2 linked regions of the Notamacropus eugenii genome follow. The protein of the gene in region 1 interacts with the protein of each later gene in a pairwise test. Links are inferred from orthologs where the notes say so. Each region holds a gene or a part of one and is shown in the gene's direction. Other genes may lie near its edges.

The links. The genes of interacting proteins can lie anywhere in the genome.
Region 2: the proteins of EFEMP1 (region 1) and KHDRBS1 interact in a two-hybrid assay, tested with the Homo sapiens proteins (2 studies listed by BioGRID and IntAct). The link is inferred for Notamacropus eugenii from reciprocal best matches to the Homo sapiens genes EFEMP1 and KHDRBS1.

Annotation. Positions count from the first base shown.
Region 1 is NC_092872.1:650,313,715-650,321,659, forward strand, and holds the start of EFEMP1 (EGF-containing fibulin-like extracellular matrix protein 1), read left to right. Parts: upstream 1-4,886; 5' UTR 4,887-5,021; intron 5,022-6,439; 5' UTR 6,440-6,446; coding exon 6,447-6,527; intron 6,528-7,285; coding exon 7,286-7,312; intron 7,313-7,945. UniProt on the Homo sapiens protein: Binds EGFR, the EGF receptor, inducing EGFR autophosphorylation and the activation of downstream signaling pathways. May play a role in cell adhesion and migration. May function as a negative regulator of chondrocyte differentiation.
Region 2 is NC_092876.1:77,776,347-77,783,317, reverse strand, and holds the start of KHDRBS1 (KH domain-containing, RNA-binding, signal transduction-associated protein 1), read left to right. Parts: upstream 1-3,867; 5' UTR 3,868-3,995; coding exon 3,996-4,395; intron 4,396-6,971. UniProt on the Homo sapiens protein: Recruited and tyrosine phosphorylated by several receptor systems, for example the T-cell, leptin and insulin receptors. Once phosphorylated, functions as an adapter protein in signal transduction cascades by binding to SH2 and SH3 domain-containing proteins.

The DNA of each region.
Region 1 (7,945 bases):
TAACAATTATGTCGGTGTCGGAAAACATTCATGTACAAAGTGGCACTTCAAGTGACCTTGAAGGGAATTAGGGTCTGTTAGAGATAACAATGTGGAGGATGTACCTTCCAAGAACAGGAGACAGATGTACAAGCAAGGGCTAGATGGTAAAGTGAATAGAGCACCAGACCTGGAGTCAGGAAGACTCATCTTCCTGAGTTCAAATCTGACCTCAGAATCTTGTTAGCTGTGCGACCCTGGGCAAGTCATTTGGTCCTATTTGCCTAGTTTTCTCATGTGTAAAATGAGCTGGAGAAGGAAATGGCAAACCATTCCATTATCTCTGCCAAAAAAAAAAGCAAAAAAACTAAATGGGGTCAAGAAGAGTCAGACACAACTGAAAAATGACTGAAGAACAAACACAAACTAGAGGGAATGGAACAGCATTACTACCAAAAATAGGCATCTGAGAAAATATTGGTAATTACTTACCAAAATGCCTACTTTTCCATCTCTACAAAATGTTTTTGAGAATAACCTATTTAGACACCAAATGCATCCTTCATGAAAGATTAAGAAGAGAACACAAAGGCAAAATATATTCCACAACAGACCATGCTTTTAGAGTCATATAAATGACTGAAATGCATAGAGTGCATAAGATGCCACCGTGGCTAATGCTTTTTAACTACTTTTAAAAGCATTTAATTCAGTACAGCTAAATGTCACCTTAAAGAATATACATCCCAACAATGTGTCTTCCAAATATATGTCAAAATCACACAAGATTGTTTGAAAGAAGAAACAGAGAGAACTTTAGGCAATATCACTCTGATTATTAGCAAGCATCAAGGAATACTAATGATACTATATATAAATATATATTATATATGTGTGTAACATACTTATGGATATGCAATTATAACTATGTATTATAATATCAATTTATAAATATACCATATTGAAATTTATCATAATTACATTACACATAATTGAATTTTATAATTATGATAGAATTGTATATTATTAATTGAACTATATGTTCTATATTCTCTAATAATATAATATATAGTATGAGATAATGCATATAATGCTATTTAAATATACAAAAATTTTAATGTTCTAAGACATATAATTATCTGTATTATGTTATACTGTTATTATATTATTATATATTATGTAATAATATATAGTTATTTACATAATTATAAAATATAACATTTCAATAATATAATTTCAATAACTATAGAATTTCCATAATAATTTCAATAGCTATAGAATATATACTTCTATAATATATTGTTGCATATAAATACAATATCCAATATAATAATATTATGCATATAAACATATATGCTTATATACTAATGATAGTATATAAGAAATACACAAGCTCATGCTCACCAGAGATGTTTGCCTTTGCCATACAGAATGTCCAATACGGAATTTAAATGGAAATGGGATCCCCTATAAATGGTGAGGACCTATTTTCAAATGATATTTTGCTGATATTTCAAACTGTGGAATACTGCAGAATTTCCTACATCAGATACATGCCTCAATCGATCGGTAAATATTTATCAAGTACTTACTATGTGCCAGGCACTTTGCTAAGCACCAGTGATGCAAAAAAGAGGCAGAATATAGTCCCTGCCCACAAGGATCTAATCTCTAACTCAAAAGAGTTCAACCTAACTACCTACAAAGGAAAAACTAAGTGGATAAAGAATGTTTATTATCCAGATCATGATATATAATTAGATGGAAAAGCCTTAGAGCTGGTCCATCCAATCTATTCCAATCTAGCAAGCATTCTTTAAATGTCTTCTATGTTCAGGCAAAGGACTTGAAATTAAAGCCCCCTTTATTAGAGACGGGATAACAAATTATGTTATACAAAACTAATAGAGAATTATTGTGCCCTAAGAAATAATGAAATGTATGCTTCAGAAAAACCTGCAAAGACAAATATGAACTAATCTAGAGTGGAGTGAGTAGAACTAAAACAATTTATACAATAATAATAAAATTGTAAAGAAAACAACTATTAAAGGCTTGAGAACTTTGACCAAGGCAATGACCAATGATGATTCCAGAGGAGTGACTATGAAGCTACTCATCGCTTGAGAAAGAGGTAATGAGCTTAAGAAGTAGAATAAGACATAGCCAATGTAGTACTTTGTTTTGCATATTTCTGTGAATCGTTTTTTCTTTCAATGTGAAGGATGAGGGAAAGTAGAATAAGAAAAAAAGGAAAAGGAAGAAAAGAAAAAGAGAGATGAAGGAAGGAAGAAAAAGAAGAGAGGAGAGAAAGGAGAGGAGAACAAGGAAAAAGAAAGGAGAGAAAAAGAAAGGAAAGGAGAGGAGAGGCAAGAAGAGGAGAGGTGAGGAGTAGGCGAGGAGAGGCAAGGAGAGGCGAGGAGAGGCGAGGAGAGGAGAGGAAAGGAGAGAAGAGAAGAGAGGAGAGGAGAGGAGAGGAGAGGAGAGGAGAGGAGAGGAGAGGAGAGGAGAGGAGAGGGGAGGGGAGGGGAGGGGAGGGGAGGGGAGGGGAGGGGAGGGAAGGGAAGGGAAGGGAAGGGAAGGGAAGGGAAGGGAAGGGAAGGAAAGGAAAGGAAAGGAAAGGAAAGGAAAGGAAAGGAAAGGAAAGGAAAGGAAAGGAAAGGAAAGGAAAGGAAAGGAAAGGAAAGGAAAGGAAAGGAAAGGAAAGGAAAGGAAAGGAAAGGAAAGGAAAGGAAAGGGACATTGAAGCATCTTTTTTAACCAATAAACATTTATTAGTCACTTATTATGCACCAAATATGCATAATCAAACAAAACAAGTTCCTACCTTGGTCATATCCAAAAATATACGTCTCATTCTGTATTTGGTGTCTATCACCTCTCTGTCAGAAGGTGGGTAACCCACTTCATCACTGGTCATCTGGAATGAAGGTGCTCATTGCAGTTCTTTTTTTTGCAGGGGGAGTGGGGGGAGGCAATCGGGATTGACTTGCCCAGGATCGCACAACTACTAGGTGTTTGAGGCTGGATTTGTACCCATAAAGATGAGTCTTTTTAACTCCAGGCCCAGTACTCTACACACTGTGCCACCCAGCTACTACTTACTAGTGCTGTAAAATGAATGGGTTGTTTGTACAAAAATACTTATGACGCTGTTTTTTGTGGTGGCAAAGAATGGTACCTGAATATGTATGGAGCATGAATATGTTGGAATACTTATGAATATGATGAAACATCATTGTGGCCATAAGAAATGAAAAGGGGATAGTTTCACAGAAACTTGGGAGTATTTATAGAAAAAGATACAGAATGAAGTGAGCAGAGCCAGGAGAACAATTTATGCAACATCAAAAGTGTAAAGACAAACAACTTCGAGCTCTTTTTAAGAATTCTGTGCAAGGGCAGTTAGATAATACGAGATCTAGAGCACCGGGCCCTAGAATCAGTAGGACATGAGTCATCTTTTTTAAAGAAAAAAAACAAGCAGGGCATCTTTGATAGTTACAGGTTGAATTATATACTTAAAAAATACAGCAAGCTGTACATAATAGCGATCTGCAGTTTCATACATAATCCTCTTTTATGCATTTCTACAGATACAGAATTGCCCAGGTTGTAAAGTTGAAAATAAAAATAAATATTATTAAAAAGAAATTTTGCAGAGTTTTTAATGACCCTGAAAGTCCCATCTCTTTAAGATCCCTATCTTTTGCTGACTGTGTATTGCTGCAAATCACAGAATACCAGCATACAAAAAATTAAATTTATGAATTACCCAAAAGAGAGGCTCATGAAGGGCCAAAGTAGACTACAGTTGATCAGCAATTAATTTTGCAGTGGTGTGATGTTATCAAAGAGAGGTATAGTCTGAAAACGAAGTATGATGGGTCCTGAGGTAAGAGTGAAAGATAGTGAATAGTCAATGTACCCCATCAGTAGCCCCCGAAGGACCAAAGGAAGGCCCTCTGCACCTAGGGTAAACCCTTGTGGAAATTTATGAGAGATGGGCATGAATAAGTAGGAAAAGGATGAGAAGGCGTAGTATAGTGGGTTGCTATCTGAAGATATGCGTACAAACTATTAGTCTGACTTTAACATGAAAACTTTAAGAACAGATGTTATGATTTGACAGACCTGGGAAGACTTCCCCTTCCCCAAAGGGTACTTCTTGCTAATGCCTGAAATTCTACATTAGGGAAGGGAAGACTGCAAGAGAGAGGGTTGTTGTGTTCATCCTTCTTTTGGAAGAGGACGGTGACATCAAGATGAAAACGTGACTTGCAGTTGACTTTGATCTGAGTGAGGGAGGGCTGTGGAAGATCACCAGCCTCACTTTCTCCTCCTGAGCCACCTGGGTCCAGTGATCAGATATTCATCAGGATGACTGGAGAAGGCCCAGGGAGACCTTGACCTTTTAGGCTAAGGCCTTTTCAGGTACTCACTAGAGAGAGGGAGAGAGAAGGGGAGGCCAGAAAGGGAAAGGAGTAACTTGTTCTTTAAAAAAAAAAAATTTTAAGAATAATCCTAATCACTGTAAAAAATTCTGTGTCCAGTGTATAACATGTTTTTAACTGAAGGACCGGAGAAAAATGAAGTCTTATTTCAAACCAGGAGAAAACATAGCCAAATGTGCCCCAGTCCAGCCTACATTTTATAGTTCCCCGAAAGGCAAAGCCCAGAGGGAGGGAGGGAAAGAGGGAAGAAGTTGAAGGTGGACTAGAAAGGGGGGTTGGGGGGGAAGGAGCTGAGGCGCCAGGAGCAGGGTGTGGGGAGGCGGGGCGGGCGGGTCTGGAGGAGGAGGAGGAGGAGGAGGAGGAGGGCGCGCGGAGAACAGAGCCGCGGTCTCCCGGAGGGGCTGCCTCACTTGCACCGGCCCTGCGCCTCCCTCAGTTCCCTCCCCCTTTCCCTCCCTCTCTCCTCTTCCTCCTCCTCCTGCCTCTGCTGCTGCTGCCAGACCTCACCAGCTCAGACTCATCTAGCTTCGCTCTGCATCGCACACACCTTTACGGCCCCGGGCTGGAGGGGAAAGCGCACCCTTGCAGGTAGGAGCCCTCCGGAGCGATCTTAGAGCTTTTAGAATTTAGTTAGCAACCGGCCGTGTATGCACAAGTTCATAGGTGGGTCCTGGTGAGAAAATGGAACTTGCACTGAGGGAATGTGGCAGCGACTCTGCTGGCACACAGGTCTGCTGGCACAGGTCTGCGTATCTCTGCACCAGTTAAGACTTTAGGTATCAGGTGTGTACACGCTGAGTGTGTGTGTTTAGAGGTAGCTGATATTACAGAATAGGAGTGTCCATACATTGGAATTGCATTGCATTTGCATCAATGTGCGTTTTCTTCGTTCCATATATGTGTGTGTAAATCAGCACGTTTGCGTGGATGTAAATATGATTTTGTATATTTCAGATTGCTTGCGTGTGGTGTGCTTTGTAGGTATGTATGGGTCTCAGCGTGAGTGTGCTCTAAGCCAAATCTGTAGTCCTTCAAAAACTGAGTTAATTAAAAGTAGGAGCGCTTAATTCTGCGGCTCTGTCCCCCGGAGTTAGGTAGGCTCCTCCAAAGAAGCTGGAAAACACCTCCATGCCCGCCCAGACCACAGCCAGCCGCGCCCCCAACCTTCCCAACCCCCAACCCTGGCCACCCTACAACGTCTTTCTCTGTGCCCTCTGCCTGGAGACTATGCAAACTCCTGGGTCTTATGGGGGGTAGGGGGGAAAGACGATGAAAAAGGGAGCCAGGCACTCCAGGTTACTTATCTTCTTTGCGTGAGACTTGTAAGGCTATATACACACTGTTAGCTGAGAACCTCTGTGGAAGATCCAATGGGAAAATTTGTGCGGGGGAGGGGAGAGCTGCCAAGAGAGGACTACCGAGATGGGTGGGTAACTAGTAGGGTGAGAGAAGAACATGATTAAGAGATCTCTACAAAAATCTCGAACTAAGGAAATGTGGGGGTGCCCCCCACCACGGACTTTGCAGGGCTTTGCTCTGGTTCTTAGAAAGACAGTGAAAATCTTTAAGAAATCTGAAGTTGTGTTAAAAATATCCCCCCAAACACACACATATACGCACACCTCCTCTCTCCAAAAGACTAGTAAGGAATGTACATTACCTCCTTTGAAACCTATGATGGTTAATTCTCTTTCTAAGTGTGATATCCAATGAGATGGCCATCTTTATTACTTTGGGACTTTGTATATGTAGCTCTGTCTTCCAGGTGAAGAGGGGTTTCTGCTGCTTTTTTTTTTTTTTTTTTTTTTTTTTTTTGCTACTTTTGGTGCCTAGTTTGGCGAAGAGGAAGGGTGGGGTAGAGTCAGATGAGAAAGTGAATTCTTAGTACAGTGTGGTAGACAGCCTCCCCTGCCCTCTATCTTCCTTTAGAGGTTACATTGTATCTCATGTCTTGTCCTTTCAATCAACAGATATTAAAAATCCATTTGTCTTGTGTTTCCTTTGAGATTCAGGATGTTGAAAATACTCTTCCTGACCACTTTGACTCTTGCTCTTGTAAGGTCACAGGAGACAGAGGAGACCATCACATACACGGTAAGGTTTGATGGAATTTAAGATAACTTCAGTTTATAGAGAGTCTATGACAGGAGAGAAATTACCTACCTCTGGAAGCAGATGTGGGATTACTCCCACAGGTCTTTACCACAATGTGTGTAATGAATTAAACAATGCTCCAGCATCGGAGCAGATCGTTCAAAAGTTTATTTACATCATAAACTGAGATAAGAACAAAAACTTAATATGTTAGCCAAGGCAAGAAAAAAACTGATTTATACACTGATGAAAGATATTTATACATTCTAGACATATTCATTAAGCCAGAAAAAGCTTGAAAGGGTAAGTAGGAAGTCATTCACTAACCGATAAAGCCAAAAACTTAGTCACAGGTCGCTCTCAATTAAAATCTAAGTAGATGGAACATTACAGAAGTACCTTAGATCATGTATACATTTAACTGGAGTTTCTCATATGAAGGGAAACTAGTTTATTAAATGTCTTATAGGCTATGTGTGTTTAATAATGTCAGCAGCAAAGTCAAATGTTTTGATGCATTTAGAGTCTCCCATTAGTGAGAGACTTTACTTGTGTGTTAGTCAAAACCTAGTGCTGGGTAAAAAATTGTCTTAAAATATACTTTGTGCAAGTAGGTTATATGAAATTTTTATTAGAATACATAAAATTTCCAATAGTTCTTTGAGAAAATAATTGTATAGCTGTGACCAATGGTTAATAAAATATTGGAAATATCTTCTCACTCCTCCCATTGCCGGGAATTGATGTGGTAAGAACAGAGGAGGGTCGGGACTGCCTCACTTCCGGTAAGTTTTTCACCCTGCTTGTGTTTTCTGCTTTCTAATAATCAATGTTATGAGGAGAATAATAACATTTGCCCTGGCTTAAAATGATCAAAACAACATTGATCCCAATTTGCAAATATAGTAAGTTCTCACCAATTATTGTGGAAATTTTTTTAAATTTTCTTAAAAGTGAGTAAGCATTTTACTGATAATAAACATCATCTCACTTTTTCAATATCATGTAATCCTCAAAATGCTAATTTTTATCTGGCACCATGTCTTTGTGTCATTCAGGCTAATTATAATGAAACAATTTATTATGAATGATTTATTAATTTAATGATCAGGTGATGATTTCTTCCTCTCCTGGGACTAAGCCAGGTCAGAGAAATACTAAATTAGTGCATCTCCTTTTTTTAATCTCTAGGCTTTAATAATGTTCACTTATTAATTCAGTCCAAAGTCACTCTTTCAGAAAGCTAAAATTAAATTTGCTTCCCCTTTATCCAATTATTTAATAAAAGACTGCTGCTTTGATAAATTAGTTAACATAAACTAAAGAATGAATTAATCTTGTAAGTGAATATTTATCATTCACTTATACTGTCTTATACCTCACTTTACTAATCACCTAAAACTTTTTCAACTTTAGCA
Region 2 (6,971 bases), on another chromosome or scaffold:
ATTACAGAATCCCAAGAGTTGGAAGAGATTGCAGAGATCAGGGGGTCTGAGCTATAAGTAAACAAGAATCTTCTTTACGTACCTAACAAGAGGCCACCCAGCCTTTGCTTGAAGACCTCCAGTGAAGGGCTCACTTCTTCTCAAGGCACCCCATTCCACTTTGGGATAGTGGTAATCATCAGGAAGTTTGCCTTTTCTATGGAACCCAATAGTTTCTTTGCAACGTCCATCCATTGCTCTTAGAGGTGGGCTCAGTGACTAGAGTGTTACTGGTTAGACTGCTAAACTTGGAGTAAAGAAGGTCCGAGTTCTAGTTTGGCCTCTGACATATATTTTGTGACCATGTGACGCTGGGCAAATCCTTTACCCTCTGCCTGCCTCAGTTTCCTCATTGATAAAATAAAGATAATGATGTCACTTCCCAAGTTTGTTGTGATGATAAAATGTAAAGACAGGAAGGTTTGCTTTGCAAACCTTAAAGCACTAACATAAATGCCAATTATTATTATTAATTCTGCCCATTGGGGGCAAGCAGAAGAAAAGGTCTAATTTCATAGGACAGTCCTTAAAATACCAGAAGGTGGTTGTCATGTGCCCCCTAAATCTTTACTATCCTTTTTGCCTTTTTTCTGTAGGCTCTCTAGTTCATCAGCACCTTTTGTAAAACAGAACACAATCCTCCAGATGGCGACTGATCGGGTTAGAGTACAGTGAGACCATCACCCCGCTAGTACTGGACATTATGTCAAAGATCAACAATCACATCTTTTAGATTTTTCATTACCCTCCAATTAAGTTTGTCTGGGCCTGGTAAAACGAATCCATCAAGGACAACAAGGCATTCCCTTATCACCTCTCTGCTTTATCTTGGGCATCAATTCTAGGGGCCATTTTTTTTCCCCTTTCCCATCAGATCTTTGTCTTTCTCAGAGAAAAAAAAAGAAGCAAAATCTGAATTGAATTATTCTTCTTACTCTCTGCTGTCCTGCCCTTCATCCTGTCCATTTGAATAATAATGACCCTTTTTATGGTAATAATGAGTTGATACCCAAGATAAGTAAAGAAAATGTTAAGAAAATACCCAGCTACCTTTGATGGATTTGTCACTAAACCTGGATGTATCCCAGGGTACTCAGAGAAGAGGTCTGTGTGATTGTCTAGCTATTCTGTGATCTTTGAAGGAGTATGAAGCATGAAGCTTGTATGAAACTTGCTGTGGGCCTGGAGATGTGCAAATATTTTTCTGATTTTCAAAAAAGGGAAGAAAATGTGCAGTTTAGAAACTATAGGTCAGTGACCTTGATTTCAATTCCTGGCAGAATTCTAGAACATATATTAAAGGGATGTCTCTTGAACATCTAGAAAAAGGAAGCAATGATCATAACGAGTCAGCCTGACAGCAGTTCATGCCAATCTAACTTTACTTTGCTTTCTTTGTTTTCCCTGAGTAACTAGATTGGTAGAATGGGGAAATGTTGTAGACAAAAGATAGCCAGATTTTAGCAGAATGCTACATGTCTCATGGTATTCTGTGGGACAAAATAGAATATTGACTAGATAATAGTACAGTCGTACAGATCCAGCGCCTGTTGGTCAGACCCAAAAAGCAGTCATTAATGGGTCAATGTCAATTTATTTAAAAGGTCTGTAGTGTCCTCTTGAAGAATTCTGGGCTTAGCCCTCTGCTGTTTAACATTTATCATTTTCACCCAAGACTAAGATAAGGTCAAAGTTGGTACCCTTATCAAATTTGCAAATAACAAAAAGTTGGAAGGAATAGTTAAAGACACTTCATCACAGGATTCAGAAAGAGATTCTGAAAAGAAACTTCCTGAAACGTGCATTAATTCCAGCACTTGTTTATATTAAAGTCCATTTGTTAAAAAAAAAAACCCACCACCTAACATTGGGCCTCATCTCATAAAATGAAATTTAATAGGAATAAAGTTTTACGTGTGGACCTCAGAAATACAATTTGGGAGAAGTCTTGGTTAGGCAGTCTACCAGATAAGTGAGACACTTTCAAAGAGATCTAAGAGTTTTGGTGGAATGAAAGGTAACAAAGTTTTGGTACTGCATCCCATCAAAGCAGCGCAGCGATGAGAACTCGGGAGGCAGGAGCACCTCTCTCACTGGCCTGGGCAGAGCAGGTCTAGAGGGCTGTCTTCGGCTCTGGGTGCCCCATTCTAGTTAGAAGTAGGCACGGCCAAGCTGGACCCAGCCCGAGGACGGAGGCCCAAGGGAAGTCTGAAGATGGGTACACCTTGTGTGGGATGGCTCAGGTCCCTACATAAATCAGTTACTCAGAGGCCTCTCAAAGTGATGACAGAAAAGAGATTTATTCGATTCTCGAGAAGCGGGGCTCACCTGTAGGAGTAGGAAAGCCAAAGACAAAGAAAAGACAGTGATTTATACAGACCCTAACACAAGTCCCTCTCCCCCCACTGACCATTATCCTCATTAGCTGAGAATATGGTCTTACATTCTAGACACGAAATCTAACCAATCCCTTTTGAAATGAAGACATCGAGGAATTATGTAAGTTTTGTCCAGTCATTGAGACCCTAATACACTACACAGTTTTATATCCTTATATGGAACTATTCTATTCTAAAAATATTGTAACCTTGAGCCTTTAGGCCTTACCTCACCCCTGGGAGAAAAATTACAATCTGAGGAGTCTTCACTAAGTCTATCCCACTCAACCTGAAGCTTTCACTGGATCCTGGATTTACAAGGGAATGCCACTTTGAAGGTTATTTATGTAGTCCAAAGCCTTTACTTCGTAGATGCGAGGTTTGTCTCAGTGCTTAATGGCCAAGGCAGGATTCAAAACGAGGTCCGGTCCACTGATTCCAAATCCAGGCCTCTGAATACGTGTTTCATGGAATGTACACGTGGTTTGAAAGGTCTCTGCCCTCCCCCCGCCCCCCAGGCTGTCATTCCCAAACCCTGGGAAGTCGAGGAGATCCGGGGAGGATGACGACATCTGCACAGGCCTGGGGAACTTCTCGTTCCGTGGGAGGAGGGCAGGTAGTAGGAGAGGCGGTTGTAGCGACGCCTCCGGGAGCGCCCTTCTCGGGGCTCGGCCGGAGCTGGGGTGAAGCTTCGCACCTTCTGGCACAGACCTTTGGTCCGCGATCCGTCCCGGCGGCTCTCGTGGGTGCAGCGCGGGAGCGCCTCCTATCCCCGCCCCCCGCCCAGCCTGCCGCCCCACGGGAGCTCCGCAGCCGTTGGTTCACTGGCCTCGCGGAGCCCGAGCTAGGTCCGGCGCCAGCCCGCCCCGCACGGACTGAGCGGAGGGGCACGCCCTGCTCCCCTCCCGGAGCCTCACCCCGGACCCGGGCCGAGCTTCCCTCCAAAGCCCTACCCGCCCAGGGCCTGAATCCCCTTTTTCTTTTAGACACCTCACTATCTTCCGGAGTCCCTTCCCCCGAGGACTGTTAGAAAAGGGCGGGGCTCAAGCGGAGGCCAACCCGGCTCTCCCCGAGCCCGCGGGGCAGCGTTCAGACAAAGACATTCCACGGCCCCCGCCCCAGCTCGCTGCCCGCCCGCCCGCAGGGGTGGAGACACGTGTCCGCGCTACAACCTGGTCACGTGTTATAGGGAGCGAGGGAGGGCTAGCGCGTGCGTACTGGCGTTAAGCAGGCTCCGCTAGCGCTCCTCCGCCGGTTCCTCAGTGGAGGCGGTCGACGTGAGGGGCGGGGACTTAACAAGGTGCGCGCCGGTGGTGACGCGCAGGCGCCGTGGCAGAGTCGGGGACTTTGTTCTCGGCTCTGGGAGCAGGGCGGCACCGGTGGCGGGCCGCGCGTGCGCAGTCGCTCACTTCCGGTGATCTCTTTCACTCTGTGTCTGGGTCGATCTCTCGCTGGGTTGTTCTGGTCTGCTCCGGTCCTCTCCGCGCCAGCTCTCCCGCCTCCGCCAACCGCCGCCGTTGCGCGGGCCTCCGCCGCCGCGCTCCGTTCCTCAGCCGCCCTCCCGCCCGCTCCGCACTCATGCAGCGCCGGGACGACCCCGTCGCGCGGCTGTGCCGGCCCCTGGGCCGCGGCGGCGCCGTGGATCCCTCAGGCGCCCACCCGCCGCCGCGCCAGGCGCCGTCCCGGCAGCCGCTGCCCTCTCACCGGCCCCGGGGCGGCGGCGGAGGCCCTCGGGGTGGCGGCGGCTCTCGGGCCGCGCCGACCACGCAGCCCCCGCCGCTGCTGCCTCCCTCGGCCACCGGCGGGGGCCCCGAGGTGGGCGGGGGCGGCCCGGCGCCTGCCCCGACCCCGCTGCTGCCGCCCTCCGCCACGGCCGCCGCCAAGATGGAGCCCGAGAACAAGTACCTGCCCGAACTCATGGCGGAGAAGGACTCCCTCGACCCGTCTTTCACCCACGCCATGCAGCTGTTGGCTGCAGGTGAGCCGGTGCCCCGTGGCGGCGAGCCTCGGAGGGGGCCCGGGCCCAAGCGGGGGAGGGAGGTGTGGGCTCCCCGCTCTTTCTGCGGCTGTAACGGAAGGGGCCCTGGTGGATTCCGCGGAGAGAACGGTGGCTCCGGTCCTGGAGCGCCCCCCCTCCCCAGGCCCGGGCTACGAACCCCCGAGGGAGGGGTGGCATCGGGGAAATGTCACTGTTAGGTCGCGGGGCTGGAAAGGGAAGCCGAGGCCTCAGTTTCCCCGCCTGTAAAACCGAGGGGAGAGGGCGAGCGAGATGCCCGAGGACTCTTCCGAGCCTCAGCTCCCCCATCAGTTAAATGGGGGGGGGGCGGTGAACAAGGTGCCGGAGGGCCTCCGTTTCCCGGTCACTACTGTGAGAGGTGGGGTGACGACGGTCCCTTCGGAACCCGGGGTCCTGCCCCCCTCCGAGGGTCTCCATCCGCAGCCCGTGCCCGGCGCCTCGAAAGCGCCACCTCCATGCCTTTTGATTGACTGGCCGACGGCCGGAGCCCGGAGTCGGCCTCTGCCGCCCGAGGCTGGCCTGGCGGCGGGGCGGCGGGTGCCCCCAGCAGGAGGGCCCTGCCGGGAGGGACCGAGGCGGGCTGGGGTGGGAGGGGCAGGGGGCGGGGCCGGCCGGGGGCGCCTGCGGCCCCAAGTGGACACGACTCCGCCGACCCTACTGGCCGCCCAGGGCCGTCCTCTGTGGGCCCGGCCGTACCCTGCATTCCCTTCCCCTCCCCCCGCGGGTGTTTAACGGCGTGGGATCCTCCTGTTCTCCACTCGAGACTCTGAACCGCGACAGCCGGGGGAGGGGGGCGAGGCGCTCTTTATCCTTAATGCCGGAGGACTCGGCCTGGAGGGAAGTTGCTCCCCCGCGCCTCGCCCCGAGAGCGTGTTGTCGTGGGTTTTATCCTGGTTGGAGAACTGACTAGAGAAAGGGGGTGCCAGTCTTTGTTCTGTGTCTGCTGAACGCGCTCCGCTCCCACATCGCGCGGTCCAATCACCTGGGAGCTCCGATTCCCCTTATCCCCACAACCCATCTGCTTTGTATTAGCTTCTACTTGTGGGATTCTTTTCAAAAGAGTTTTTTATGATAAATAGATTTACTGGGTACGTTAAAATCTGGAACCTTCAGGGCTGGGAACGTTAGTTTATTTGGCAACCTTAAGCATCAGGAGACTTGGAAAAGAAGTGACTTGGCTGTTCTTTGTTCTCTGTCTTGAAGGGGGGCCCGACTTTAAAAACAAAAATTGAAACCTGTGATTGTCAGCATTCCGATCAGTCAAGTTTACATCTCATTTGATGTAATGGGAAACATTTTTAGATCTAATATTGTGTTTAGTGTTGCCCGTTCTCGGTTGTGTGGTGTAATTCAGTTCTTTTGGAAACCTGCTTGGGAAGGGGGTGTTCCCTTTTTAGATTGAGGTTTACTGTGTTGTGACATTGTAAGTGTCAGATTGGCTTAGCGTGGTGGCACCAAAGTGACATGCATTGCTTTTCATTAAGCACCTTCTCTTTTGATATGTAAATATTTTTCTTAATTATTGGAAGTGATGCTTAAAATCTGTGACCCATTTTCAAAAAACACTGATTTTTCTGAAAGATGGCTCTAATAATTAGTCTTTATATTGCCATTGAGTAGCTCCTCATTTGCGTTTTAACTACGAAGTAGTTTCTGCTAGCACATCTCATCAACTGCTGAATAGTCTGGGAATTTATATTTCCAAAAGTATCTAAAAACAGATCTAGATGAAACACATCAAAAATGACCTATAGTGTACTTTTTTAGTGCATTTGTAGTAATGGCTCTTATGTTTAGAGCTGTAACCATACACAGAACTCCTTATTTTGTAGAGCCAAACAGGGTAAGAAATCGTAAGGTTACCAGATCCTTTAGGCCTATACCAAGTTCCCAATAGGTAAATCTTTGTAACTGGAGTTTTAAATGAAAGGTTTCTTAGAGTAAGCACTTGAATGTATTAATCCTCAAACGATTGAGGTTTTTTCCCTTTGTTGGTTTACCTTTTGTTTCCTTCCAAGAGAAACTTTAGGGAAACTTTTTCATTTGTTAAGCTTTGGTTTTTCCTTTAGTTAATTTTACTGAGCTGGTAAAGTAATTAGAGCCTAGATTCTTAACCTTTTACGTATCATGGACCCTTGGGCAAACTTGGGAAGCCTGTGGACTCTTTAGAATAATGCTTTTAAAAGCATAAAATAAAATACTGAAAATGTACAAAAGAAACTAATCATATTGAAATACAGTTCTCAGGATATTTTAAAGAAACTGTTGCATGCAACCCACCTTAAGAACCCCTGTCGGAGAGATTGGATTAGAGAAATATCATTGTTAGGAAAACCAGATGGAGAGCTATATTCCAGTTCTAAGTTGTAATACTTTTTGTTAAGGTATTTATGAATGAATTGTAAAGATTCATTCAGAATTTCAAATATAAAGTGAACCCCAGGAGGCACTCTTAAAGGTTCTATGATTGGGCAATATAGTGGCAAATGAGTGAGACTGTGTGTGTAAATATACTTGTATTCTTAATGTGTTCTTAT